Styela clava: one gene and its partners. The protein of the gene in region 3 purifies or fractionates together with the protein of the main gene of each other region. This does not show direct contact. Links are inferred from orthologs where the notes say so. Each region holds a gene or a part of one and is shown on either strand. Other genes may lie near its edges. The genes, in order: serine/threonine-protein kinase Nek2-like, anaphase-promoting complex subunit 11-like, cell division cycle protein 27 homolog and ubiquitin-conjugating enzyme E2 S-like.

The links.
Region 1: the proteins of cell division cycle protein 27 homolog (region 3) and serine/threonine-protein kinase Nek2-like purify together in Homo sapiens (affinity purification with mass spectrometry; 6 studies listed by BioGRID and IntAct, with this or other methods). This does not show direct contact. The link is inferred for Styela clava from reciprocal best matches to the Homo sapiens genes CDC27 and NEK2.
Region 2: the proteins of cell division cycle protein 27 homolog (region 3) and anaphase-promoting complex subunit 11-like purify together in Homo sapiens (affinity purification with mass spectrometry; 8 studies listed by BioGRID, with this or other methods). This does not show direct contact. The link is inferred for Styela clava from reciprocal best matches to the Homo sapiens genes CDC27 and ANAPC11.
Region 4: the proteins of cell division cycle protein 27 homolog (region 3) and ubiquitin-conjugating enzyme E2 S-like purify together in Homo sapiens (affinity purification with western blotting; 4 studies listed by BioGRID, with this or other methods). This does not show direct contact. The link is inferred for Styela clava from reciprocal best matches to the Homo sapiens genes CDC27 and UBE2S.

Annotation. Positions count from the first base shown.
Region 1 is NC_135255.1:6,135,221-6,142,110, forward strand, and holds serine/threonine-protein kinase Nek2-like, read right to left. Parts: upstream 3,020-6,890; 5' UTR 3,011-3,019; coding exon 1,565-3,010; 3' UTR 21-1,564; downstream 1-20. Other genes in the region: serine/threonine-protein phosphatase 2A regulatory subunit B'' subunit gamma-like, read right to left, coding at 3,993-5,342. UniProt on the Homo sapiens protein: Protein kinase which is involved in the control of centrosome separation and bipolar spindle formation in mitotic cells and chromatin condensation in meiotic cells.
Region 2 is NC_135257.1:2,785,976-2,792,491, reverse strand, and holds anaphase-promoting complex subunit 11-like, read right to left. Parts: upstream 1,514-6,516; coding exon 1,375-1,513; intron 1,237-1,374; coding exon 1,121-1,236; 3' UTR 516-1,120; downstream 1-515. Other genes in the region: fumarylacetoacetase-like, read left to right, coding at 1-508; evolutionarily conserved signaling intermediate in Toll pathway, mitochondrial-like, read right to left, coding at 1,877-3,403. UniProt on the Homo sapiens protein: Together with the cullin protein ANAPC2, constitutes the catalytic component of the anaphase promoting complex/cyclosome (APC/C), a cell cycle-regulated E3 ubiquitin ligase that controls progression through mitosis and the G1 phase of the cell cycle.
Region 3 is NC_135260.1:19,715,376-19,722,721, reverse strand, and holds the start of cell division cycle protein 27 homolog, read left to right. Parts: upstream 1-4,317; 5' UTR 4,318-4,521; coding exon 4,522-4,548; intron 4,549-4,975; coding exon 4,976-5,051; intron 5,052-6,074; coding exon 6,075-6,222; intron 6,223-7,154; coding exon 7,155-7,346. UniProt on the Homo sapiens protein: Component of the anaphase promoting complex/cyclosome (APC/C), a cell cycle-regulated E3 ubiquitin ligase that controls progression through mitosis and the G1 phase of the cell cycle.
Region 4 is NC_135262.1:5,818,969-5,826,322, reverse strand, and holds the start of ubiquitin-conjugating enzyme E2 S-like, read left to right. Parts: upstream 1-4,354; 5' UTR 4,355-4,568; coding exon 4,569-4,577; intron 4,578-4,850; coding exon 4,851-4,998; intron 4,999-6,152; coding exon 6,153-6,343; intron 6,344-7,131; coding exon 7,132-7,354. Other genes in the region: cytochrome b5 reductase 4-like, read right to left, coding at 194-1,840. UniProt on the Homo sapiens protein: Accepts ubiquitin from the E1 complex and catalyzes its covalent attachment to other proteins. Catalyzes 'Lys-11'-linked polyubiquitination.

The DNA of each region.
Region 1 (6,890 bases), on a different chromosome or scaffold from region 3:
ACGTTCTAAAAAGTACATGATTTGCTATTATCCTGGTCATTTATTTCAGTTTTAAAAAAGATCCACGGCATAATAAAGTAATATCCTGGGACTGCTTATGTCATGTGTTAAATGCATGAAAGCAGTTATACGAAAAATGTCATCGGCATACTCTTATATGATAAATCCTGTGACGACTGACGAGTCAAGACTAATCCTAAAATAGTAATTATAAGCACAAGCAACAAGAAAACGGTCTAATATGTACGTTTATAGATCATTACCACGATCATTATTATAATGTTATTGCAAGGGAAGATGATATTTTTCCTTGAAACTATTTTTGTTTGTTGTGTGGCTGCCAATAAAAAATAACCGTTTTGTGCTGTGAGCAAGAAGAAATGTGAAATTGTGATTCATATGGGTATTTTACGCAACTGAAAAGTATAGACATAAATAAAGAAATAATAGCAGCAAAAAATTGAGCTATTGATTGAGGACAGCATACTAAAAATACAAGGATTATGACATAAACTTGAATTCCCGCCACTTTTAAAACACAGAAAATATGAATATGAATAAAATAATTTTCTAACATTGCTAATGCTAAATGAATAGCATATGATGTTTTAAAAATTCAAATTCCTATTGAAAACATAACCTATTTAAATTCTCAATAATATCAGACTGAGAGGTTTGTTGATCTTAGTAAGTATTTTTGGTCAGCAATAAATTCTTGTAAATTCCTTCAAACATTATTCCGTGCACTGCATAGAAAGAATACACATAGACAAATATAAGTGAAATTTGAGTGAGACGTGAAGAGAGACATATTAATTACATGTTGCTAGAAATGCAAAAAAATATTTTAAAATTTCCACCGTATGAAAAAACGTTGTGAACGAATGAAAGTATGCAAATAATGGTCATAGATTTGTGTATAATTAAATTGTTGTACAAAGAAAAAATAAGTCGCCTTTTCGGTATTACTGGATGCCGAATTTCCTTTTTGAAATTTACTATTAGCAACTTCCAATAAATGTTGCCTCAAATGTAATTTTTTTTTTAATTTCTGATATCACAGTTTAAACTTAAACAGTAGTACGGCAAGGCAAATCATCAACCAATAAAATGAGCATGAAACAAGTAACAGCAGAAGTATAAAGAAAAATGGAGCAGCCAAGACTATAAAATTTTTTTGTTAAAATCGCTTGAAAAAAAAAATTAGAAAATATAAAATTAGATCAATAGGAGTATTACAAGGATGAAAAGACCTTCTTAATCTGAACAATGTGTACCAATTGAGAATCAAATCGATTTATTTAGTAACTTGGTGACATTAATCATTCATTGGCACACATGATACTAATTGAAAATAAAACAAAACAGTGCTCTATAAATAAGTAAAATCCAGCACAATAATCTCACAGCTACGCAAAATTATTCAATTATCTAAAAACAGCATTATACATTCCAATACATTCTTGATATAGTTTGTGTTTCATGTTTTTGGTAAAGGAGTGATTATATTTGTACATCAAGTCATCATGTTTCCATTATATTTATTATCAAATATCGGAACAATTTATCTCATTCCTAGCAGATGCCTGTTTTTGATATTGTTTTCATATCTCATATTTGCCTGGTTTTGTAATCTCAAATCTCGAAGTTTATGTCTGTAATCTCCAAGATGTTTATCACTTATTGGTCCAACTCCGCTGAGTTTTCGGTATCTATAATCATCATGATATCCAGGATTATTTTCTTTTGACTCCATTGCAAAGTGAACTTGTTTCTTGCTTGGTAAAATACCAAGGCGTTCATATTTTTCGTGCAATGCTTCTGTTGACAATCCAGCTCTTGATAAAAGATCTTGTTTTTCAGCTTTCATCTCTCTGTATTGCTTGATAAGTGTTTCTGCATTTGTCATTTTTTCTTCTGCCATTCTTTCTCTCTCTTCAAGAAGTTTTTCTCTCCTTTTCAGCTCTCTCTCTTTTTTCTCAATTTCTCTCAAACGTAATTCAAGCCCTTCTTCTTTTGTTTTACCTTCAGGTTCTGGTGATTCTCTCTTCTCACTTTCACTACTATCACTAGATGATGATGACTTTCTTCTTTCCATTTTCTTATCCTCTATAACCTCTATTCCTACTTGAGGTTTTAATGCAGCTGGGCTAACTGGAGGTGTGAGCCCACATTTTTCCAGAGTATCTTGCAGTAAATCCATTTTCAAGATTTCATCAATGGTTGGTCTTCTTGCTGCAGAAGTTTTTAGCATCAGTGAAATGCAGTCTTGCAATTCATCACTATATTTAGATGGTATACGACGGAATTTACCCTCCTTGATTTTAACAGCTAATAACCTTTGATTCGCTGCAGTGAAAGGAGGCAAAAGTGCACAAAGCTCGTAAATTAAACATCCAAGTGACCAAATATCAGATTTTTCATTATAAGACAATTTATTCATCTGTTCTGGTGACATATAATACGGCGTTCCAACGAAAGTTTTTGCGAAACTTGTGTCGTGGTTCAGCACTCGTGCCAGACCGAAATCTCCAAGTTTCACATCATTAGATGAATCTAAAAATACATTGGCTGGTTTCAAATCACGATGAAGAATTTTTCCTTGGCCTAACTTCTTTCTTTGACTGTGACATTCCTGTAATGCAAGTACAAGTTGAGCAAAAACCCTCAAAATAAAGTTCTCCTCCATGAATGATCGTTCCTTCCGCTTCTTCGATATTATACTTGCCAGATCTCCACCGCTACAGTATTCCATAACAAGATACAGGCGACTACTGGTTCTGTCAATAATTCGATCGTAATATCTCACTATGTATTTGTGTTTTAATTCTCTCAGAAGATTGACCTCTGACACCAACTGCTGTTTTTCCGGCTCTGTCATAGAACCATAATCCATTTCCTTCCAAACCAGTGTCTTTCCATCACTTTTCCGTCTGATTTTCAGACATTTTCCATATGAACCAGAACCGATGGTATATAGAATATCGTAATCGCATAACTTGGATGGCATTTTGTTGATGGAGTTAACAACTAATGTAGGGTAATGTTACAACCTAGAAATATGAGAAATCAAAAAATATGTGTTAAAAAAGTTAAAAAAAGAGTTCATAACACAAATAGAGGATCCTGCGGCTATGGCAGGGAATGGCCCTGTTTTATTAATGGTAATCACAATATAATATGATCAGTTAGGTTGGGAACAGAATTGCAGAACTGGAACATTGGTTTCTAAATTGATCGCAGATTGATTGCTAGACAGGGTTGGTATAAATAATAAAAACAAAGTAAGCAGATGTATGGCTATGATACTGTAGATTGGTGGATTCATATTAAAATTATTTGGTAATCCAAAACTCTGCTCTGCAAATCATTTCTGAGTTTCAACCATTCATAATGATGAATGATGATGATATTTGAAATTCAGAGATAGCAATTGAATGAAATAGAAATATTGGAAAAATAGAAATTTAGTCAAAAACTCTAAGAAATTCCAGTTTATACAATATAGAAAATTATGAAATGTGTTATTTCTAAAAACAACCTTTCACAACTCTTGAAAGCCAAGTTGAAATTTTTATGAATCCAAAATTTTAATTCGAATACATAAAGTACTTCGAACAAAGTTCATGAAGATACCTAGGCCTATCTTCTAAATTTCAAGATCACCCAAGATATAATTATATCATAATATCACAAAATCATCAAATTTACATCTCCAAAATTCCAACTACACCAACTATGGCAAGGTGATTGGCATAAGTCAATTACTGTATAAACCAAGTCTCGCAAACCAAATGTCTTTCTTGTGTATTCATCAGCATTTTGTTTATATTTGCATACTCCCATTCCAAACAAGGCTCTCCACAATCATCTAATGATATGTAAATCATGTAAGCCCCACACAACGCATAACAACATTTTTTCATATCCGATTATTAAGATGCCTTGTGAAGAAATTGCAAACGTAACACAGTAGATAATACTACTAATTGTCAGACATCGTCATCTGCTGCAGAATCTACAACAAGAACTTCTCTGTTTTCATAGGTCCAGAATCCATTAAGATCAATCAAGATATTTGTTACAGTTTCACCTTGGCCACTGCTGATTAAATCTTGCAATGTTATTTTCAATGGGTCGTTAGGTTTCACCATATCAAAAATTTCATCTTTCACATCAGCAAATGATACTGGGTCCTGTCCATGCAATTTCATCATTTCCTGAATAGCTCTGAAGAAGTAATTTAAAGAAAATACATTCAGATACGCTCTGTTTTGTACATCAAGTAATTTGAATAGATATTGTAGCGCAGCAGGTTCTTTTCTATTTTCCATAGCAAGAACAAAATCGAGATAAGTTTTATAATCCATTTCACCGTCGTATGTTAAACACTCTTGAAAGACTCGATCAAGAAACACTTTAGTTAATGTCCCTGTTCCATATCTCGCCAGCTCTTCTTTGCTTAACATTCCGTTATGATCTTTATCAAGATTCAAATATTGTCCATAAACACGTAAAGCGGAAGGTGCAGAAAACCAGTTAGATTCTTGAACTTCTTTCGATAATTCTTCATCTCTGAGTTCTAATAAATCATCTAGAAATCCACAAGCAAGTATATCCTGAATTTTAATTCTACCCGTTCTCATCGGGTCCAGGAAGAAAAAAAATTTTCGAACCCCTGTACAGACGTAAAATGAATAGAATGATCTCTCAAGCCCATCAAGTTGAGGTAGAGTAGGAATGAGTTCTAGTATGTAATTCTCCAAATCTGCTTCTCTCAAATATCCTTGTCCGGCCACATCATATAAACTTAAACCAATTCTTGTTTGATGAAGCCACACTTTTCTCATAACATAATTAAAAAATTGTAAAATTGAAATTCTTCCCATATAATCTTTTTGATTTAACTTTGAAAAAATTATCGCTGTAAAAAATTGTTTGCATTTCTCTCCTGCTTTCTTCCCAACTTCCAGAAAATCTTCATAATTGATCATTTGTTCTTCATTTGTAGTAGGGGGTGTATGATGTTTATCAAGAAGATACCAAAGATTCTGTAACTCATCATTATCAAGCAATTCTCTGCTTCTTCGTTGAAGAAAAACAGCTCTGGATTCTTCTCTTAATTTTTGCAATAAAATTTCATCCTCAGCAGGAAGCCTGTAATAAAATCGTGGAATGGTTTTGTATGTTTCACATTTGCTGGTTGAACTGCCTCTCCATTTTGTATATAATTCAGTAAATTGATTCAACTCTTTTGCTGTTTTTTCCTCTTCTGTTTCAGCCGAAGTACTTGATGTAGCTTGTGACTGCAAAGCATTTTTCAATTTGGATTTCCAGTCCATGTCACTTTTTTTCAAATCCTTCCCAGAATATGTATGTATACAGGTAATTAAATAATGGAACAGACTTTTCCACTATCAAACTATAGGTTACCTGAAATATCAGTTAAAAAATTAAGTTATTAAAAATAAGAGTTAGTGAAGCTGGAGAATAAAATGCAATTAGTAGAAACATCAAATTCTCAATTTTATTTACAGATACCATGAAAATGTGAATACCCAACAGCAGACTGCATTATATTAACTAGTTATATACTACTAGTTATATCAACTTATATCAGGAGCCTGGAACTTTTTTGGTCAAAAGAGCCTTGAAAGGTACGTATATTCAATGACATTTCGGTGCGAGCCATATAACATTTTTTCACCACTTTATCATGTCTTGAATTTCTACTCAACAATTAGAACAAACAATATCAATATACAATTAATAATATGTCGCTGAGGGGCTTGAAGGACTGCTCACATTCAGCACAAGCTGAAATCCACGATACTCATCACCTTTCTTTCTTTTGGGCATCTCAGTATTGTAGTGCTTTAAAAATTAGCTTTGTCCAATCTAAATATTACAAATAAACAATACAAGCGGACAAAATACTTTAATTCCTTTATTGTTCCACGACTCTAACGCTTCGTGATATCACAAAATATGTTCCAGAATCCTAGATTCCGAGTTTTGTCACATTGCTAGTCTGGCAATTTCCTCGTATAACATTGACATTCGCTGAAGCGCTCGTTCTCAAACGTATTGGCAAATTTTCAGCCAAATTTGTCTATAAAAGAGGAACCTGTTCACAGTAGTAAGCTTAGCCTTAGAATATTGGATTTTTGTGGCAGCAATATGTTGTCACCAAAAGAGACATAAATGGCTCGCGAGCCATGGGTTCCCGACCTATGACTGTATGACTCACGGTACAGCGGTACAGGTGTATCATGATTAGGGATGTAAGTTTCAGAATTTCGAATCCAAGCGATTCGAATCAAACTTAATTCGAATCGATTTGAAGCAATTTAAGAAAAAACGGCTTGATTCTATTTAAAAAAAAATGATAATTTAGATACCACGCAGCGATTGCACAATGCAGGGACGAGTCTCAACATCGACCAAAAGCGTTTGTTCTCCTTGCGTTTAAAGCGTTCCCAGGTCGTAACACTCGGGGGTTGTTATATTCCATCTCATCATTGACCAAAAGCGTTTATTTTCCCTATGTTTACAGCGTTCCCGAGTTGGAACACTAGGAGTATTTTACATGGGTCACAGCTTTAGAGAAAACAATGTTTTTTAGACTATTTAAAATGTTAAGAAGTTTTACAAATCCTACATTATATAAACGTTTCTATTAATTACCTATGTAATGTCATTATAATAACAGCATTATTCCTCATTTAAAACAAAGGTCTGCGATTTCTTCCCTTGGTATCATTTGATTTCCTCTAAAAATACGGCGCAAACGGTACTAACACATGTCTCACTGGCGTTTATCATTTGGATGAATATTGAAAGTTAATTTCAGAAGAAACGATCACTATACAAACTACACAAAACTTCTC
Region 2 (6,516 bases), on a different chromosome or scaffold from region 3:
GAATTTTGGAACATCTATATCACCATGGGTGGTAACAATGGAGGCTCTTGCTCCATTTGCGATACCAAATTATCCCAAAGATGTTGAAATTCTACCGTACTTGAAACATGATGATAACTATGCATTTAACATCAACCTGTCTGTGGCAATAAGAGATAAAGACATGGTCGAACCCGCAGTTGTCTGTAAGTCTAATTTCAAATACATGTACTGGACAATGAAGCAGCAACTTGTTCATCACAGCATTAGTGGATGCAATACCCAAACAGGGGATCTGTATGGATCGGGCACAATTAGTGGATTGGAGCAAGATAGTTTCGGCAGCATGCTTGAATTATGCTGGAAGGGAACTCGCACTGTTGATCTCGGAAATGGAAAATCAAGAAAATTCTTGCAAGATGGAGACAATGTTATTCTATCAGGATTTTGTCAAGGAGAAAATTACAGAGTAGGATTTGGAACCTGTGAGGGGGAAGTTCTACCTGCAATAGATGCATCACAGTTTTAGACGAAAATTGACGACGCTACTTATTTATTATGCACAAAAATGAAATTCAGCCGAACTGTTGTCAGTAGAATCATGTGTGGCCTTTTCACCTTCGTTGCCTTAGCATTGTGATATTGCGTTGGTTTTTATACTATAGCCAAAAATAAATAATGGATGAAAAACAGCGCCGTTGATGTAGCAGTAATGTCTGGGCAGATCAGTGGAACTCACACTAAAACGAAATCGATATTCCTAACTCAAATAGGATCCCATCCATGTTACAAATTAGCAGCTAGTTTGTCCCAACTCTTTAGATTTGTAATTCAATTGCATCCATTCAACCAGAAAAAAAGTCCTCTCCATAACAAGTGGTTACTGATATCATAATCAAATTAATGCTCAATCATCAACTCAATTTCGTCAACTACCTGCCAAGAACTCGGCTAATAGTGCATTTTTTTAACGTTAATGAGGCTACATATAGCAGCATACACCTAAATAATGAGAAGATGCCACCAGATATTCTCAACGACACTTAGCCACATTTTTCCAGGGCTGCTCCAGTTGAAATCCTGTCTGCACATTGGACACTGTTGATTGCTACATTTTCACAATGCTTTTCAAGTTGATAGTTCACTCTTTGAAAACCCAATCCTGTCTGCACATTGGACACTGTTGATTGACTTGTTGTGATTGAAGCCACTTCAGTATGCAATGCATGTGAAAACAATGCGAACACTGTCCCCATACTGCAAAACAAATGATATCATGAATTTTATTTATATTCATGATCTGATAAGCAACACAATTCAGCCTCAGTGCTTTCTCTTAACTCTTAACCAATGCTCTGCTCTCTCTTAACCAATAACTCTTAAAAAATAACTTACCAATAGGGCAATCATCACCCGGTGCTTTACAATCAGAACAAAAGCATTCGAACGGATCACGACATATTCCACAATTGTCATCTGATGCTTGCCAACACCATTTTGCAACAGCATGCACTTTGACTATCTTGAACTTCATTTTTAAGCTGGTTAAAAACAACTCTACACAAACAAATATCTAAAAGTAGATGATATAAATTAAAGTATACTCAGACATATTAAATTTTATCGAAAACAACCAAAAATTTGACATGAATGTGGTACACACAAAAACTTAACATGATCCATGTAAAAAGAGCTATGCTTTTAAGTGATTTTTGTGACTTTGCTTTTCCTACTATTGAGGAATAAATCTGCCCATGTATTGGAGTGAAGAACTGCACAAAGCCAAGTTTCATAAAGTTGATAAAGAATCATTGATAAAGTTTCTAAATATATTATTCGCATTTTTACGCAATTATTCATAGATCATGTATACATTTCTGCACCTTTACTATATCGATCAACCACGGTGGTCATCTTTTATGTTTTGTGGGCCAATTTTATAACCTTCAGACAAAAAATTTACTTTTTCATTAAAAATTACAGTTAATTGTGAGAGCTTCGGATTGGAAGGCTCTAAACCCTTGACCCAACTCCGCAGAGCACCAATAGACTTATGATCAGTTGCAGCAACTGCAAATACATTACCCTCAAAGGGTTTAGTGTCATCTTCAACTTGAATTATTTCATTCTGCTGCAAGTCCACAAAACTTTTACTTTCTAATTTTACTCTAGGCAAGAAACTTTCAGTTGAATATAATTCTTGCGTAGATTTATTGAAAAATCTTTTGGAAGTTCCAAAGTCTGAACCATAAAACTGGGTCCACCATTCCCTATCAGTTAACACTCGTTCTTGTTCAGACATTTCGGTCTTGTTTTCAATTGGGTCAGTTCTCATAATATAGTATTGAATTTTTTTATTTTGAAAGTACACCATATTAGGCCCTTCTACAAAAAGTGGCTTGGTTACATCATGGTGATCCAGCATTTCTCTTTGATGATCTGTTTGTACGCTTATTATGCAATCTATTTCTGCTTCCGGAGTCAATTTTTTATCATTGAGAACTGATGAGTCTACTTCAAATCTTCGATATGAAGCATCTATACCAGGATTCACTTGTCTCAAACCTCTTACAGCAATTTCAATGGGAGTCAATTTTTCTAATTCTAGTTTGGAGATAAGAAATGGAACAAATGCAGACAACCTAGGCTGCCAAAAAATAAGCTGCCTGGCAGACACAGTAGCTCGGCTGAATTTTCCAAAAAGTCTCATGCATGCATTATAAAATTCATCATTAATAAGGGCATTGTTTTTTGCCATAATACTAAATAATCTTCCACCAAGTTCATGATCTATAATTTTATCTTGCCACACCGATTTAAACCACTCGTCTCTTCGCATGCCAGTATGTTCTGATTGAGGATAACATTCAAGTATTTTTAAATACGCTTTGGATTCATGCTGGACATTGAATCGATCAAGATTATTTAGGGCAACTTGCACAAACTCCCTGTGTCCTCTACGAGTTTCACCTGCATCTTGAATCCACATGTCAACCATTTTGAAAAAGAGACGTTTATCCGCTTCAACAACATCATAATACTCTGCATCATCAACTAAATCTGTATGTTCCTGTGCTTTCCGTACATAGTATTCCAGAACCGCCTCTTCATCGTCAGGTGCAGACTCTGCTAACATCTGCTGGTACATGGTGTTTTGTGAAACCATTTTTCGTTTCACACTGCGCTCTACCGCTGTATCTTCTTCATCCATTTGAATAATACTTTTTCTTGCAACAGGTTGCAATACACTTTCTTCGGTATTATCTTCTTCAATTTCATTTTCAATCTTCTTAATTTTGTTCGATGACTCTCCTGATGAAAAATATTTCATGGTGTTGCATATATTTCTGCAACTTTTTGAATTCCTTGTAATTGGAGTGCAGAACTTAATCATTCTATAGCATTCATTAGTTTTACGAAACATGGTTTAATATTTACAGATCTCAAATATAATAATATATTCTGCTTTTCAGTTTTAATATGAAAGATGCAGTTAGTTAGAAATGTAGGTATACAATATACATAGAGACTGAGAGAGATTAGGCAGGCCTTATGACTTCGAAAGATATTGTTTCATGATGCATTTAAGTTATGAAATTACAAAATTAGGTATAAAGCTACTGATCTCATCTTGGATTTTTTCTAAAAAGGACGACAAACTTTTTCCTAATCAGCTAATCAGACTCAAGTTTGGTTTAAAAATCCCCTCCCCCAAACAGCCAACTGCCCAAAATGAATATAGCATAATATGCCGGTCCCAAAACATTTTTGGGGTTGAGCATGGAAACAACCAACAAATGCGCTCGTATATTCACGGAAAATCTATATTATATGGCTTAAATGAAACCTGATTCTGTTCCCTTGTTTTAGGTGGTTTATACTTAACTAACACTCATATAAGCCGAAATATTGAATGTTACGCAAAATGGGAATGCTATTATTACAGCATTCAGGTATTAAGTGGTTGAACGTCCCTATATTTATCTGTGTGTTCTTATCCCAGTACTGGTACTATTTTTTTTTTTTTATAGATAAAATAATAATAATATACCAGTAGGCCTACTTGTACTATTTGGGCAAGTGCAGTTTCAAGTATTCCATGGCGTCTGCAGCTGCCGCAAAACCATGGCGGTATTTCCATACCATGGCCGCTACGGCCAAACCTATGGCGACTGACTTTTTAGCTGCCACAAACCAATGTCGATCTGCCGTTACCGCGGCAGCAAATTTAAAACCAATGGCAGGTAAAATTTTGCTGCCGTAACCGCGGCAGGTGGGCCGTAAGGACAGGGCTGTCCCTTATGGTGACAAATATTGGGTAAGTTGGAACGTTTTTCTTATGGATACAGTCTTGATGGATTTGGGGTTAGGGTTTAAGTAGATATAATTCCGCATGATCAATTAGAATTTGGTACATTAGTTTGTGAATATACCGTTAATACTGATTACTGAATACAGAATAGCGCTATAAAACCGCCATGAAGTGGTAAGAACTGCGCCTCTATTTGGGTCTGGTATAGTTTAGTACCACATTCACTTCTTGTTGGCCTGGCTCAACAATTTTTGCATATGTCAATCCTAACCCCCACCTGTCTACTCCATCTAAAAATTACGTCAGTGCGACCTCACAGTGACGTAATATAGCCCTTCAAAATATACAAACTGTCATCCAAGACTGTGCAACCCAAAGTGACCATAAACTGGTGCAACCGAAATCGAACAGCTATTTCTCTCGTTTTCTCGTCGCAACGATCCCAGTATGAGAGAGATCGCTGACATTAGTCAGTTCTTTATCTTTATCGTCTCATCAGAGCCATTATATAACTAGTCTGGAAGGCCGTATACTGACCTGCAACACCGTGCAACTAACTTGTCCCATTATGGCGTCATATGGACGCCATTTTCGATCATTCGGGTCGAGTAGTGTAACGCAAACAAGCCTAGTTTTAGTAGTTTTAAATAGTTATTGGGGAAGATTTAAAGGAGTAGTTATATTCCGAAAGCGCAGAAATCCGATAAGGCGTCCCAGTCAGTATCGAACCCAATATGAGGCACTTACATTAACAACCCACGCCGCTCGGTGACAAACAAAATATAGACGCAACACACGGTTAGTAAAGTGAATGCAAGTCAACACACACACACACACACATAGCCTACGGAAAATGGGGAAAGTAGGCAAAATCTAAAATTATTTCAGACTAGGGCTATCGGCCGTCCCCGCAATGACAGGGACAGTCCCGGAATTGACGTCTGGCGCCCCGGGCCACGGTTGTCCCGGAATTTACTGACAACCAGGGCGTTCTGAAATAGCTTGGGCTATTTTTGGCTTCTGCCGTCACATTCGAAATACCCTATTTAGCCATTTGGGGTCCCATGATTGGAGTGTTTCACACCACAACAGGCCTAAATGACTAAAACGAACTGAATTTTCGACAGTAAAGACGACGTCCGCGGTTGCATTCGTTAAATGAAACAAAGGCGACCAGAATAATTTGATGGAAATTTATATTTATCTGAAAACTAAATTCAATGGAGTTTGGACGATAATAATCAGAAAAAAATAAATAAATTGGCTATGTATACATAGTGGATCAGCGACAAATTTTCAATGTGATGAGAATGTGTCTGAACGTGAAAAATAAATAAGTGCAACTCAGTGATACATACACAGTATTGAATAAAAATAACACACTGGATAGGGAAAGATGATTTTGATTCATAGGTTTGTCATAATCTGAAACTGTTTCAAAATTGCATGAACTTTATATACATTTTGGGATTTTCACAAACTTGCACTCTAAAACTGAATGTAAATACTTACAAGTAGCCTATACTTATCAAGAAGTTTTAGCAGATGGGTTTTGAAAACGTTTCTGACCAACATAAGAGGGTCAAATCAATGGAGCTTTCCCCGACCTTTGGGGCTATTTTAAGAGTGCTTTTGCAAGTTGGCGTCTGTAAAATGGGGTATATGTTTCAAAACATCATTATGATTCGTTGCATACAACAATCTGTTTTTTAAAGGTACCGGTGAAGAATTTCAGGCTAGTCTATCACAGCTATTTCTACACTAATTTTTATTACTGCAATTAAATTAAAACTCCTAAGAAGACAGAGTGATCATTGAATTATCTGATTTATATTTAAGTTTCCAAAACACAACTGAAAACTAACGAATAGAGTTCAAAAACGCGAAAACGAGGTAATGTTTATAACCACGCTGGAAAATCTGTCTGAGTGAAAAAAGTGTCTGAGCGGATGCGAAAAGGGGGCATTGTTACGTTACTTTTTGCATTTTGCTGATTGGCCAATGTCACGAAGTAAACAAGGAAGTCGATGCTCGGGGAAAGGTCCATAGGAAAATTTTCATAATTCTCATCTTGAGAATCGTGTTTACAAAACAAAGCAAGCAATGATCATCATAGGAATAGTGAACATTTTTATTTAAATCTTTGGTGTAACAGTATGATTCATGAAATCATATACAGCAGACCAGAGCCATTATATACTAGTCTTGAAGGCCGTATACTGACC
Region 3 (7,346 bases):
TGGCTGTTTTATCCATTCACAGAGACGTTATTTCTGGGATGCATGACTTTGATCAGCGCGTTATTGAGCATTTTGCTTCCAAGAAACCGCGGCGTGTTGCATATATGTTCAAGCAGTAGAAGTCTAGTAGCATATATATCTATCAGTGAGCGACGCATGTCCTTATCTTTGCATTAACTTTCCTTTCTTCATAGTAATGTTTTAAACCTTATTTTAGGTTTTGTCTGCTTTCCCGAAGTTTCTGTTAATATGTCATTGTATTTATCTGGGTAAATATTGCCTTTCCTTTTGAAAGAGGTTTCAAAATAAACTATGTCTATATTTATTAATCCCTTGACTTGGACCGGTTTTAAAGACACTTTCTTATCGTTGAAAATTGTCGCTTTTGCCGATTGGCTGTTACCGATGGAATGGTTTTTGTGCTCATAAAATGATGGGAGAACTTACAGCGCTCATCCTATCCCCGTAGATGGGGGTGACTTGGTCCCGCAGTAGCTTGCCCCGGTTGTCAAAATGACCACGCGCCGCCACTGGAAGGCGGTATTGGAGGTAGGATATCATTTTTATCCCGGGTAAGAGGGAGGCGGCTTACTCACATAGCGTACCACCACAGCCACTCGTACGGTTACCAGTCTATGCATGGGATTAGTTAGCCGGCTATTTTGTTTTGTTGTTTTTTGTTGTTGCAAGGACTCTAGGGTTGGTTTATCAAAATATTTAATCAATCAATGACGATATAAAACTGCGATAATTGTAATGGAAGGTCTGACTACGGGATACGTCCGGAATAGCAGGTATGGTGGAAGAGACAAAAATATTCATTACAAAATTCTCTCTAAAACTGAAAAATTGTAACCTAATCAGTCTTATTGGGTTACTGGTCTTTCGGATGCAACTGCAAACTCAATTCACGGATCGTTTATCATAACAGACAAATATTTCACCACATGCAATAAACAAATTCTCATTGAAGTTCCCAAACACTGTTCCACAACTGATTAAATAACCAGGTATCGAAATACGATAAAACATGAGCAATCGACATATTAACTAATATTTCAATTTGCTCACTGAATTTCCAATAAGTTAGAATCCTTTTAGGGAATAAATGAATACTTGCTGTCTGATTCTGCTGTTCTGATCTGATGAAGACATACACCTGGTTCCGAATACATATATTGCAATTGTATAATTTACAAATACAAAGGACAGTTCCAAATCATGACTGATAAGCCAGGCAAAATTACCAAGTTGCACTGCAGGCCCGAGGTTCGTTAATTACTTGTCCGTAGTTATCCTTTTTTCTCCTAACGAATGTTCGCTTTTATGCTGGTTTTAGTATCCTCAGAGCATGACGCGATATCGTCATGTAACCTATATAGGACGTCTGATTGTTACGTATTTTACGACTAATAGATTGCTTCTAATTTTAGGATTAGAATGACTTAAGTTAAAACACGAACTATCGAGCAAAAACAGCTGATTTACCCAATATTCTATTTCTATATCCTTTCCACGATTTACAAATTACAAATTACAACCAGCAATCCAAAGATGTCGGGATTCCGTCAATCATTTTCATATAAAAAACAATTTCATTGTTAAGAGGAATTGTATCATACTTAGTCCCATAAATGGCAAATAAGAGTTGAATACATATCTTCGCGAAGTTTAATAAGCTTTGACAGTCGTCAAATATATTCTCAAAAGTCGTTGTGAAAGTTATGTATATAGCAGGGGTTCTCAACCTTTTTCCTGTTAAGTACCTCCGAGTCGTGAAATAATCAACTCGAACTCCCAGTAATCAGACACCAAACAAAGTTGTAAATTGTAATATATTGACTAATAATTTATAAACTGTTTTTCAAAGCAGTAGTTCCCAGCCGCTGGCCCACGGACCGGAAGCTTTTTTGTCGTTCCGCGAGAAATTTTTATGTGTTTTTCAACCGTCTTAAATCGCTTTACCGAACGCGAAATAACGACGTTGGGTTTGTTCATTACGCTATTTCTCTTTCGCCAACCTATTGCTGTTCGCGGTATTAAAGACGTATTGGCGCCGAGTAATCACACTTCTCGCTTTTTCGGTTCCGATTCATCGCGAAAGCATCCTTCAACCTCGCGAGATTCAGAAACCCAAAGAATGACACACGTGTTTTTTCTGTTCTGCATGCTTTTCCTGTTCGATATGAACATCCAAATAAAAGGTTATGAATATTTCTTTGTTTAAGGCAGAAAACAGTCGTTGACAGTATAATATCCCAGGGGTCCGCCTTGACATCTAGTAAAATATGAGCTTGTTGCGACCCCACAGGTGGTCACGAGGCGCACAACAAAATCATGGGCCGCAGAGATCTTTTCCATGTGATGCACAGCAGGATTGTGTACCTGGTGCCAAGTTAACGATGACCTATTCATCTTAATGTAAATTTTGTTTGATGCGTTGATTAACTGCAGAAAGATAAATATGAGATCAGCTGACCAACAAAGCATCTATGTCTTCTTCTGGGCCAAGTTTGATTCACTCATTTCGGTTTTTGGCCGACGCATTATTTGTTTTTATACATGTAAAATGTTTTCAAGTGTGCCTTCTTTATCTAGAAGCATAGTGGGTGCCCAGCATTTCGTTATATTGCGCAAATATATATATGTTATTATTTTCTCTTCCACTCATTTCAATTTTTTGTCGGTCCGCGAGTACATCTTATTCAATTTTATCGGTACGCCATAAAGGTTGAGAACCACTGGTTTAAAGAATATATGAAGGAAATAGCAACACATGAAAACTCAACTGCCATCCTAGTACCCCTAGAAAGCTTCTCGTAAAGCCCTGGTATATATATAGTATTGGAAATCACCTATCAGAGAAGCCGTTTCGAATGCACAAATATCTTGTATGTCTTACTCAATATTTTCATGTATCCTTTACCAAAGACAATTATCAATGTTGATTTCAATAAATTTATAAAAATAAAACTCTTGAGATACCTATATTTGGAAATTGACTGCGGTCCAAGGTTTTATTCGAAAATGAAATCATTTGAGATGAATATTTCCATTTTGATGGTTTGCGTTTATACGTTAATGTTTAAATTAGGTGGCCCACTGTATTAAAGGTTGCACATCTCTGGTTTAAATAATTCCAGTAAGAACGTGGTCGGCATAATCCGCGCGATGCTACTTGGGTTACCTACATTTTCCTTTTAAGAAGACTTTATTTTGGAATACTAAAGAGAGAGATTTTTGCTATAGTGGAAAATTATAGTAAAACTATTTATATTGCGTGACTCTATTCTAAATTTAAATCAAATTGAAGCTTATAGTAACTTTGTAGTTTTCATAGGTGACACGGGGAAATAATTTTTTTTAAGCAGATAACACGCGCATATAATGGGTGCTCACATTGCAAGAAAGACAATAAAAACTACTTCAGTGTCGAGACTCAACGGGCAGATTTTGCGTTTTCTTGGGAAGGTTGCGGGTCGGAAAGGTCGCGGGGTCGGAGCGTACCGGTAGTTGCTAGTTGCTTGTACTGATACGGGTCTTACTACTTACTGAATACAGCGCGAAACACCGCAAAGAGCGCAAAACAGCGCGAAACAGCGCAAAAGAGCGCGAAACAGCGCAAAATAGCGCGAAACAGCGCAAAAGAGAGGAAAACAGCGCGAAACAGAAGGAAACCAGCGCAAAACAGAGGGAAACAGCGCAAAACAGGAGACGTAGTCATTACCACCTCCTGCCACGAAAGAACCACGGCGCCTCTCGCCATGGTTTTATGGCGCTATTTCCGGCATATTTACAAGGTTATGTACCGGATTATAGGTCACCATGCGAAATTTTATCTACCTTTTTGGTGCTCCAGAAGTATGTGCAGCAATATGTCGCACAACCTGAATCCGCTACACACACACATACTCTTTTCAGGTTGTGCGCCATCTTGGTGCACATACTTCTGGAGGTCCCTTTTACCTAACCCTAACCCTAAAGCCAACCATATCCATATGGAAAATGTTCTAAATTATGGTACCCAAAATGTGTCACCAGCAGGGGCAGACCTGTCATTACAGCATTACTGGCTACATACGTTGGTTTGTGTTTTTAATTTGCTGCCGTGGTACTCCAACTCAAAACAAGGTGCCCCGAACTCATTGTAAAAATTTTTTCTGCTTCACACTGTTTCCCTCTGTTTTGCGCACTTTCGCGCTGTTTTGCGCTGTTTCCACACTGTTTTGCGCTGTTTCCCTCTGTTTTGCGCTGTTTCGCGCTGTTTTGCGCTGTTTCGCACTGTTTTGCGCTCTTTGCGGTGTTTCGCGCTGTATTCAGTAAGTAGTAAGACCGTACTGATACTGTATTGCTGTATTAATAAGTACCGAACCGTATAAATTCATTTGTTTATATCCAGTCTTTGTAGCAATCTGATGAAAGTTTCTCCAAGTTAGAGTCCAACGCCCGATTAATGAATACCGGTACCGGTACAACTTTTTGGATTAATTTGATTAACTTAGTGTATACCGGTACAGGATTATGACGATCATCCAAGAACCAATCAAGGTAACCACATCGATACAGTTTATAACATTAGTATTTGAATATTTTGACCATCATTTACCTCAAAGAACTGTAGAACACTTCCAATTGCAGAATTGAATGTTTTATTGCTGTAATGCAAATCAATCAATGGTTGAAGCAGTCAGTTTTTCCTGTATTCTCCAATAATTTTCGCTCTTTGATATTTAAGCCTTTAACGAGATACTCAAGGCAACTATTAATACTGTCCGACTGTAGGACAATAATGTTTTTACAATTATAATCTGCAAACATTGACTTTCAGAAGACACATTTTTAATTTTTTGTAGCGATTTTTATTCATTTCTTCAGTGTCGTCAGGTCAAAAAGTGATTAAAGGATTATATAGCCTAAGATTAGTTGGTATCATAAAGTTGTAATTAATAAAGTATTATACATGTCTTAATTTCAGGCTGCAATATGGCACTCTCTCAACCATTATGCCTTTGCCGATGCAATCTTTCTGGCAGAACGACTATTTGCTGAAGGCAGGTTTCTCATATTTTTTATTTAAGAAATTGCAAAAAATATCAAACAGATTGATGTAGGAAAAATAGTAATTGTGAAAATTTCATAATTTGATTTATCAAGCAAAATTCAAAATATGACATTGTGGGCCAAACCATCGAACAATCCCTTCAGTCACAACACAAGAAAAATAAAGTGATATCATATTATTAAATCCTTGACAAAACAAAATTTCATCTAATTGTGGCATAACACAATGTCAAAAAGGTGAATGATGCAAGTTTCAAAATATGAAACTCATTCAAAAATAATGGGATACAAAGTCTGTTACGTGAATATGTTCCATGGGCTGTCCGTGGCCTGTGGACTGTATGCTGCATGGTTCTTGACTATACATATCGTTTTGTATTGGAGTATAACTAGTAGCAATTTGGGATATCTATATTCAGATAGTTGAATTGATAATCCAAATATGCAATTCTTATCTTGTTTATTGTGAATAAACTTTTTCCGACAGAATTGTCATATCATATTCTAATAGTAGTAAAAATCATAATATTAATGTAAAAATATCATGACTTACTATGATCATTGCAACAGAGAGATATCAGTAAATGGTGGTTGTGATAGGACTTAAAACAATTCAAGCTGGCACTTTCATAAAGCAGATAAATAAGAAGTTTTACGGATAATCTTTTAATACAGAAATTTGAGTTTAAAATTTTTGAACCTCTCAGTCTGTGAATAAATAGCAGCTAATGTAGTGAAACAATTAAAACTGATTCTGAGTCCATTACGGTTCACATGAACAAAGTTAATTATAACGGCTAATGAGCCAAGATAAATCAAATTTCATATTCGGGAAAGACATGACATAAATGGCATAACTTTTTGGAGTGGTTCTTTGTTTGTCCCTACATTTTACCCAAGTGATTCATTTTTGCAAACTATGAAATCTTACAATATTACAAGCATACAAATATAAATCTTATTACCTCAACCCACCCTCCTATCCTGTCTAATATAAACTTTTTTTATTACAGTTGCATCAAGTGATTCGCTCTTCTTGTTGGCGACTGCTTATTACAGATCAGGAAAACCTAAAATAACACAAATGCTACTTGATAAACATGGGATGACGATGCCTGAATGCAAGTTACTTTATGCACAATGTGCATGGGAATTGGAAGAGTAAGATTTTTTTAAACAAACACTCTTGGTAGATTGTCATTTACACTTGATTAACTAGACCAGGGTGGTCCAAACCCAGGCCCGCGGGCCACATGTGGCCCGACGCTCCATTATCTGTGGCCAGCGCCGTATTCGGAGAGTAGGCCTAATCAAAATATCGTATTTTAAATTGCTTCTCATGAAATAAATCAGAAAAATCGTTTAACATATTGTTGTTATATCACTACTGTGACTGAATTGACTAGTTACACTAGTATGATGGCTAGCTGAAGCAACTAGCGAAGTTGAAGATGTGATGGGCAGTCTAAATCGTATTGGTCGGGAATATATGCTAACAATATAGGCATGGTAGAAAACTAATTGGTAGAAAACTAAATCGGATGCGGATTCCATTAGCCTAGGTTGGCAACTATGTGTTTACACAATAGAAGTGCTTGTTTTGTATTGCACTGTTTACCTATTCTTGGTACTATTGTGGCCCGCGACAAATACCAAAATAATTTTGTGGCCTGTGGAGCCCACAACCTTGGACCACCCTGAATTAGACCTTAGGTAAACTGCTATTGATTTCTGAATTTATGTTGGAGCTTTGAATAAATAATTGATCACAGGTATTTTCTTGTAATCTAGTTTATTGAAGGTAATTTAATGCTTGACGCAAGTCAGAATATAAGTTCACTTTACTGTAGCAGTATTTGGTGGAAGTCTCTTTACCCCAAGCCATGAGCCAAGTCTTGGTCGAGTTTGAGTCAATTATTGGGTCAAGTCTAAATGGCATAGATAACGATTTTTTTCAAAAACGCGAGTTACTTTTGAGTCTTCAATAAATGATTACCCTAGTTGAGTCGGTTACTCGAGGCATCCTCATCCTCATTATGATTGCAACCTGTATTTCTATTGTTTTGATACTAATTTGATACCATTTTTTTCAGGTATGCCAAGGTAGAACAAATTTTCGGACTTAATTTTTCACCAAGACAATTGAATGGATCGCAATATATCACCAATATTATCAATGATATTCATTCTGAATTTGGTGAATCATCATGTTTTGCTCTCAGTTTACTCGGAAGAACTTATCTTCGAACAGAACGACCTGATCTTGCTGAACATTGTTTACTCGC
Region 4 (7,354 bases), on a different chromosome or scaffold from region 3:
TAGTGTTTCTGTGAAGCTTTTTTTGCCTTTTATGTTGCGGAGGGGAAAATAGAACAGAGTAACAAATTCTTTTTCCTGCATGACAAAAACATAAGTGCATCAAAAGTGGGAAATTCTTAGGTCACTACTTATTATATATTGAACTATGTGGACCAATGGTAATCTGTACATAAAATTTGAATATTGAAGCATTTTATGTGAAAGCATGGACATTGGGGAATCCGAGCTCTTTAATTATGGAAAGACCAGAGTTGGTAAAAAGAGTCGGCCCACATATGTAGAACAAAATATCATTTTTGTCAAAATTTTCAATTTTTGACAAATATTCTTCTAGCATTTCTTTGGAAATTCTTCCTCTTCTGCCGTTCCAAGATTCATCGGCTTGTGATAATATATTGTGAGTGAAAAATCTTCCATGATAGTTTTCTGAAAATGCATCGAGATCATCTCTCCAAATAATATCCTCAATTCTTTTGTTGAAAAAAAGTAAATGAACTTGTGAATCATCTCGATCTCGCAACAATGAATATAAAACTCTAATCATAGGCGTGATTCCAGTACCCGCTGCCAACAAAACATGCGTGTTATATTTTGAAATAGTCTCTGCATCAAAGTCTCCATCATATACACTTACAGATATTTTATCATTCGGTGATAATTTGCCCAACGCTGAAGTCAGCGCGCCAGTTTCATAGTGTTTAATAGCCAGATAAAAATCACATCCGGTTTCAAGTGATTTTTCTGCATTTTCATTCAAAATTGACTTCAGAACTGGAGTATAAGGTTTTTGTACTTCAATGTTATCAATACTAGTTTTGAGGTAGACATGGTATCCCTTGGGCACATACATTCGTCGAGAACAGGGCATTTTTATATGATACAAGTCAGTATCGTGAGTCAATGTAACTTTACTTGCAATAGAACATTCACATGTTCTCAGTTTAAAAACGTCTCTGCCGCTGAAGTTTTCTTTAGTTCGTCGTACATCACCAAGCGTGCTCCAGTGTATTTTTGGGTCCATTTTTGTAAAGACAACTTGTACATTTCCAATGGAAGTAACTGCAATGTGAATACTGCATAAAACTGGTTGATTTAGAGCAATGTGAAATGTGTGCAGTATTTTGCCTACGTGTAAATCTAGTACAGCTGAATTCTTATTCAAAAGATCACATACAACATGATCTTTGGAAAAGTTGGGTATTTTTGTATACAAAACGATTACAATAGTTTTTGTTGTTTGATACCAATCCAAAGTTGGTTCAACTGAAGATTTTTCATTTGGCAGGGAAATAGACACATCAGAATTTGAGGTATAATCTTCAAGATTTATTTCAGGTACACCTGCCGCAGTACCTCCAACAGAGTCAATTTTTAAAGTGTTCACGCCAAGAGGATTTAGGCTTGTTAAAGATGTCGGAGGAGCCAGTATACTATGATTAAGATGTTTTGGATTTGTGTCTATTAACTTTCCTATTAAGCATTCCTTCAACATTGATTCATAGTTAACCCAACGATGGACTTCTTCAAAAAGAGACGTGGCATCTCTCCCTGCACCACGCATCAGTTCATCTGCACCACCCGGATGATATTCCAGATAGGCAGTAACGTTGTATACCATTCCACGCAATGCCATCCACATATCATTAGGCTTGTTATGTTTGGCTAGTTCATCTGTCGTTATACGTAGTAATCGAGGTCCTGTCTTTTTCAAGTCCTCTCCAGATTTTGTCCGTTGTATCCAGTCAACGAGAGACCTTCCTGGTTTCAGTGGAACCTTTTTGCTGGGTTTAGTAGGATTATTTACGGATAACCTTTGCTGACTATTCAGTGACGGGAACATGACAATAATTTCTCTATGTAAGCACTGCAGAGTATAGTATATCACAGTATTACAATACTTTAAAAGGCAAAAGTAATTTGTAAGTAAGAGTTCAATACACTGACATACTACAGTACCAATTCATTATTATTATGAGAAACGTGAGCAATAAGACATACTTTATATGCATCAGTCCATTAAATAAATAAATTCTCATCAAATAAAATGATCGCTCGATTTAATGTTGCATATGACAATAGATAAAAAGTTTAATCGCTGCAATTGTACGGAAGTACAGCTGAATGATATGGTGAATTATTTTTATAGTTACTGTGTATCAATTGAATTTCCCCGACTTTTATTTTTACATTCTCTTCCAAATCATATATGATGATTCATATCAATCTTGTTGGTTATTTATGGAATGAATAAGTTTCTCTTTGTGCTTATTTCTCTTATTTATTTCAATTTTTATTAACTCGTTTTCAATCTTGGTGTCCCAGACTTATGATGCTATCTCTGGTCCTTCGCGACTTCCAGTTAATTGCAATGAAATCCGCTACTGTACCGCATAATTACTTTTTCCTATTTTGAATTTGTGTTGTGATTTCTTGCACGACGAAACAAACCTATTGTCTATTGTCATAGACAGATAGATTTACAATAGTGAGCTTGATACAGACCCAATCCTACCAACAGTGTATGTACATGCGTAGGGGCACTAGATCAGCAGTTCATGGTCATCTGAATACAAGACTATAGGTACAGCTTTCAACATTAACTGTCTTTTCTATTTTTTCCATAGATAATTCCGTACCGGTACTGAATATATTACTCCCAACCACTGCACCAGCAGATAATGCCTGAATTCCCTCATGCCCATCGTCATATTACTACGGTACCTAATTAATTTTCGATTTCATCTCGGCATCAACCGAATACTTATAGCTTGTGCTAAGTAATACAGTGCCGTGAGCAGATACAGAAATAAGTGCCTAGTATTACGGGGTAATCAATCATTTAAATGTTAGTATACGGTATGCGATATGAAAAATAACATATTGCATTTGATAGTAATCGCATTAAAATGCGACTCATAAATGTGACGCACTGCAACACATATTAAAACGCGTTTCCGCGTACCATACAACGCGACTGTCAGTGCCATCTGGGAAATTCATCAATACAATTCATTTATAACTCCAGATCCTGAATGCCCCTGTCAAAACGAACACAAATAAATGAATACATATAAATAGAATAGGCACAGTGAATATAAATACCGAGATGCGAGGGAAATGTTAAGTTACCGTAAATGTAATGAATGTCGTATGAAGCAATGATGCAGAGCAAAGGATTTGCGCATTGGAGCAGCAAACAAAAATGTTTCGTCAATTTTAGGGGAGAACAAACAGTTTTTTTCCAATATTTCAAATGCTATTGAAAAACATGTCAATAGGCAATAAAAGCAGCCATATAGGTCGACCGGACCCTCTTCAGTCTACGTTCGCACAAGATGACTGCAAAATTGGTTGATTTGTAATAAAGTTCACCCATTGAAGCTAACGAAGTTGATAGATCTTATTTCGATTCAGTCGCAAAAACAAAATATACGTACACAAGTTTAAAACGTATTGAACGCGTCCACCCACCGAAAAAGAAAGAGTCACAAACCTAAACAAATAAACATAAATATTGACAATGCTGAGGTGTCTCATTCTGTAATAAGGTTGCATGCAATATATTCAAAAACAGTGAATAGCGTGTGATGTGTGGCGGCATGTAAACAAACAATCGATAAAAATTTTCCATTTTCGCATCCCAGTTGTACACTTCTGGGCCCACAGTTGAAAATTTGTAATGGCTCTGTTTTTTCGCTGCATGGACTTGGTGGTGGAGGAAGACGCGCTGTTACAATAGCCACCCTATGGCTGCGAGGAGTCCAGTAACCCTATCGCACATAAATTTCTCCACGGGATTCAAACCTGCGAACCCACGTAGGGTAATCAGATGTGCAATGGCGAGCGTATTCCAAGCGCCACATCGCTATATATATTGCAATGTATATAATGTCTCTTAGCGTCTTTGAAAAACACGCTTGGCACGAAAAAGTACTTTAAATTAGTTTGAATAAAACCGTTTTAGCGCATAAATTAAATTTCAGTTTTCACCTTGCATCTCTGCAGCAGCTGAATTTGCTGTGATCTCACACATACAAGTAATTGAATGCACCTGTTGTTGTAGCGAAATTATGATATCCAGACTATTTTATAAAATGAATAAACAATTGTTAGCAATGCAATCCGGTATCCTAATGTATAATATTTTGTTTCTGGAATAAAGTTATTGCCTATTGTGAACGATTTGAAGCAACAAAACAATATTTTTTATCTTCTCTTGCCACTCGCAAACCGCGACAGATCGTTAACGAGTTACGCCATCATCTTGAGATACAATAGTTTACTGCTATAAACACTTATTTAGTATTGTAAATTTCCAAGCAGGAGTGTTGAAAATAAAGCCAGAACTAAACAAAAACGATGCTAAGAACAATGTTGACTCTAGTCACGTGACTAGTTTTAAATCAACGGCATCTGACGTCACAACGTCGTAGTACTGTTCTTTTAATCCTCATACCAAAGCCTTGAACACAGAAAATATAGAAAGGGTTTGGCTTTCGCGTATATTGGATTGCAGGCTACTTAGTCCAAGTCGACATAGGATTGTAGGAGGGACACTTAGCTGAAAAATGTCAATGGTGAGTCTCACAGTATTACAGTAATAATCAGATAAATTGTGAATTGCAGATAGAATATATTTAAGTGGATTTTTATTTTAGCTATGGGTCACAGTACTGAAGCAGTCGTTTTCTAAGCTCCAACTGGTCATTTTAATTGGACTAAGTACAGAATTTCGCATTTTCGTTTTAAATATCTGACCTTAAAATGAAACATTTATTCCTGCATTCTGTCATTAGATTTCATTTGGTGCAATATTGCTGTATTGGAAAAAATTTGTTTATCTATTTCAGCATGGAAATCAAGAAAATCTATCCCCTCAAGTAGTGAGACAAGTTTATAAAGAGTTGAAATCTTTAGCAACAGAACCAATTGAAGGAATTCAAGTCACTGCGAATGAAGAGGATGTGTCAGAAATTCAAGCAATTTTGGATGGCCCACGTATGAGTTTTATTATTGATAAAAAAAGTTTTTGCCAAACTGAAGTATTGTGGAACGGATTTGCTTCACATGCTTTCTCCACCATCAACTTTACGCATTTGAAACAAATAACTGGCTAACTAAGTCTATACTCGACATGGACTGGTAACCGGACGAGAGGCCATGGTTCGCTATGTGATTAAGCCCTCTTATCGGCTTTCCCCTAGGACAGGGGTTCTCAACCTTTTTTTTGTTAGGTACCCCTCAGGTCATGAAACAATCATCGCGAACTTCATGGTAATCAGACACCATTCACCCATCAAAGTTATTATTTATTGACTAACAATTTGCTGCAACAACAATTTATTGACAAACTGCTGTAGCTAGATTAAATCTTCGTGTTGATGTCATTACCCTTGTCCTTTGCCTAACTATTAAATTCTTAAAATCTCTCTCAAGTTTCAATAAGCATTATCACTTTCTGCAATGCCTGCAGAACACTGTCTTTTGAGATTTCACAGTTTGGCTGCAAAGCGGTGGATTTTACATTGTTGCGTCTCAATCGCAACAACGCAAGATCAGGGAAAATCTATGCTGAGTTTCGATCGGCACGCATTTTCCTCCGGTAGTAAAGGTCATTGAAAAACGGCATCACACGAAAACTCGAATGCCATCCAAGTACCCCTGAAAATCTTCTCATGAACCCCTGGGGGTTCGCGAACGCCAGATTGAGAACCCCTGCCCTAGGATAAATATGTAAATCCTAGCCTAGTGTTTTAAGTCTTACGTTCACTGAATATTTTAGGATTCTGTCACTGGTCACTTACAACTCACAATGCCCACTCTTTTAGACCTATCACATTGCTTTGCACGATATTGCAAAAAATTATAAAAGGATATCAAAGTAGATTTATCATTGAATAAATGTGGCTTCCTTGGATACAATATGTATTATTAACTGCTTTGGGCAAGACATTTATAAAAGTATATAGTTAAAAAATATTTTTTTAGTTATCTTGACGAACAATGAAAAAAACTCTTATGACCTTGAAATGTATTCATAGAAAAAAACTTTTCCCAGTCCAGGTTTGCCCAAAAAATGTTTCTTTGTATTTGTTTGTTTCTTTGTAAGCATCCATACAGGCTGGAAGCTATTGAATTTTTTGTCCATTTAGAGGGCACACCGTATGCTGGGGGTATTTTTAAAATGAAACTCTGCCTAACTAAAGAATTTCCTGCGAGTCCACCCAAGGGATTTTTTACCACTAAAATATTCCACCCAAATGTGAGCAGTTCTGGGGAAATTTGTGTCAATGTTTTGAAAAAGGATTGGCATTCGAAAATGGGAATAAGGAATGTACTCCTGGTATGTACATTTTATATTATTGTTTTTGTGTATGTCAAATTTGGAAATAAATGATGAATTTTTAGTCAGTGCCAGCTTTGTCACATAGTGTCGTGTTAGGCACCCAACATTCAGATGTAATCACATGATGTGATCCTCGAGCAAACTGGCCAAAAACCAACAATTTTTAATGACTTGAAAATTAAATTAAACATTTGAATTCTGGTATGAGGCAACTTATTCATTCACTTTTAATTGCTACGGCCATAGTAATATTCTGTCATCAATCATTTTTTTTTGACAAAAGCAAGTATGATTTATTGTGTAGCATGAATGTGCGACATTTGATTAAAAATTTACAGTCACTGAAATAAGTTATGAAAATTGAATAACATCTAGATTCATTGCAGCTTACAACAGTAGTTTGGTTTTCTAAGAATGCAAAAATGAATCCAAATCAAGATTCTTCTTGAAAGTCAGCAATATTCTTTATACCCAATTTGAAGTTAAGATCATCATGACAAATCAGTATTCGTCACTGTTGCATGGTTGATGATTATCTTTTTTTTTAATTTTATTTATTTCGGATTTTGAATATGAATTTAGTGTATTTCAATCATAAATGCCTGCTATGCTCTCACAATCAAATGGCTGTGACTTAAGGTGTGTCAACTGAATCCAACGATTGTCAAAACTCATTGCTCTCTGCTTTGTGTATAAAATTATCATGATTTTTTTGTCAGCTTCTGACCCATTGGCGTTAAATTTTTATTTAGTTTTTCGATTATATTTGTTTCTTCGTGTTTTAGACTGTCAAATGTCTTCTTATTCATCCAAATCCTGAATCTGCGTTAAACGAAGAAGCAGGAAGACTCTTATTAGAACATTACAAAGATTACGCCTCTCGGGCCAAACTTATGACTGAAATTCATGCTATGCCAAATGGAAAGTTGGCAAGTACAAGACCAGCAGATGATAGACCTTGTTCTAGTGATCATAGTTCCACTGGAGAAAGTGGTCCAGCAAACAAAA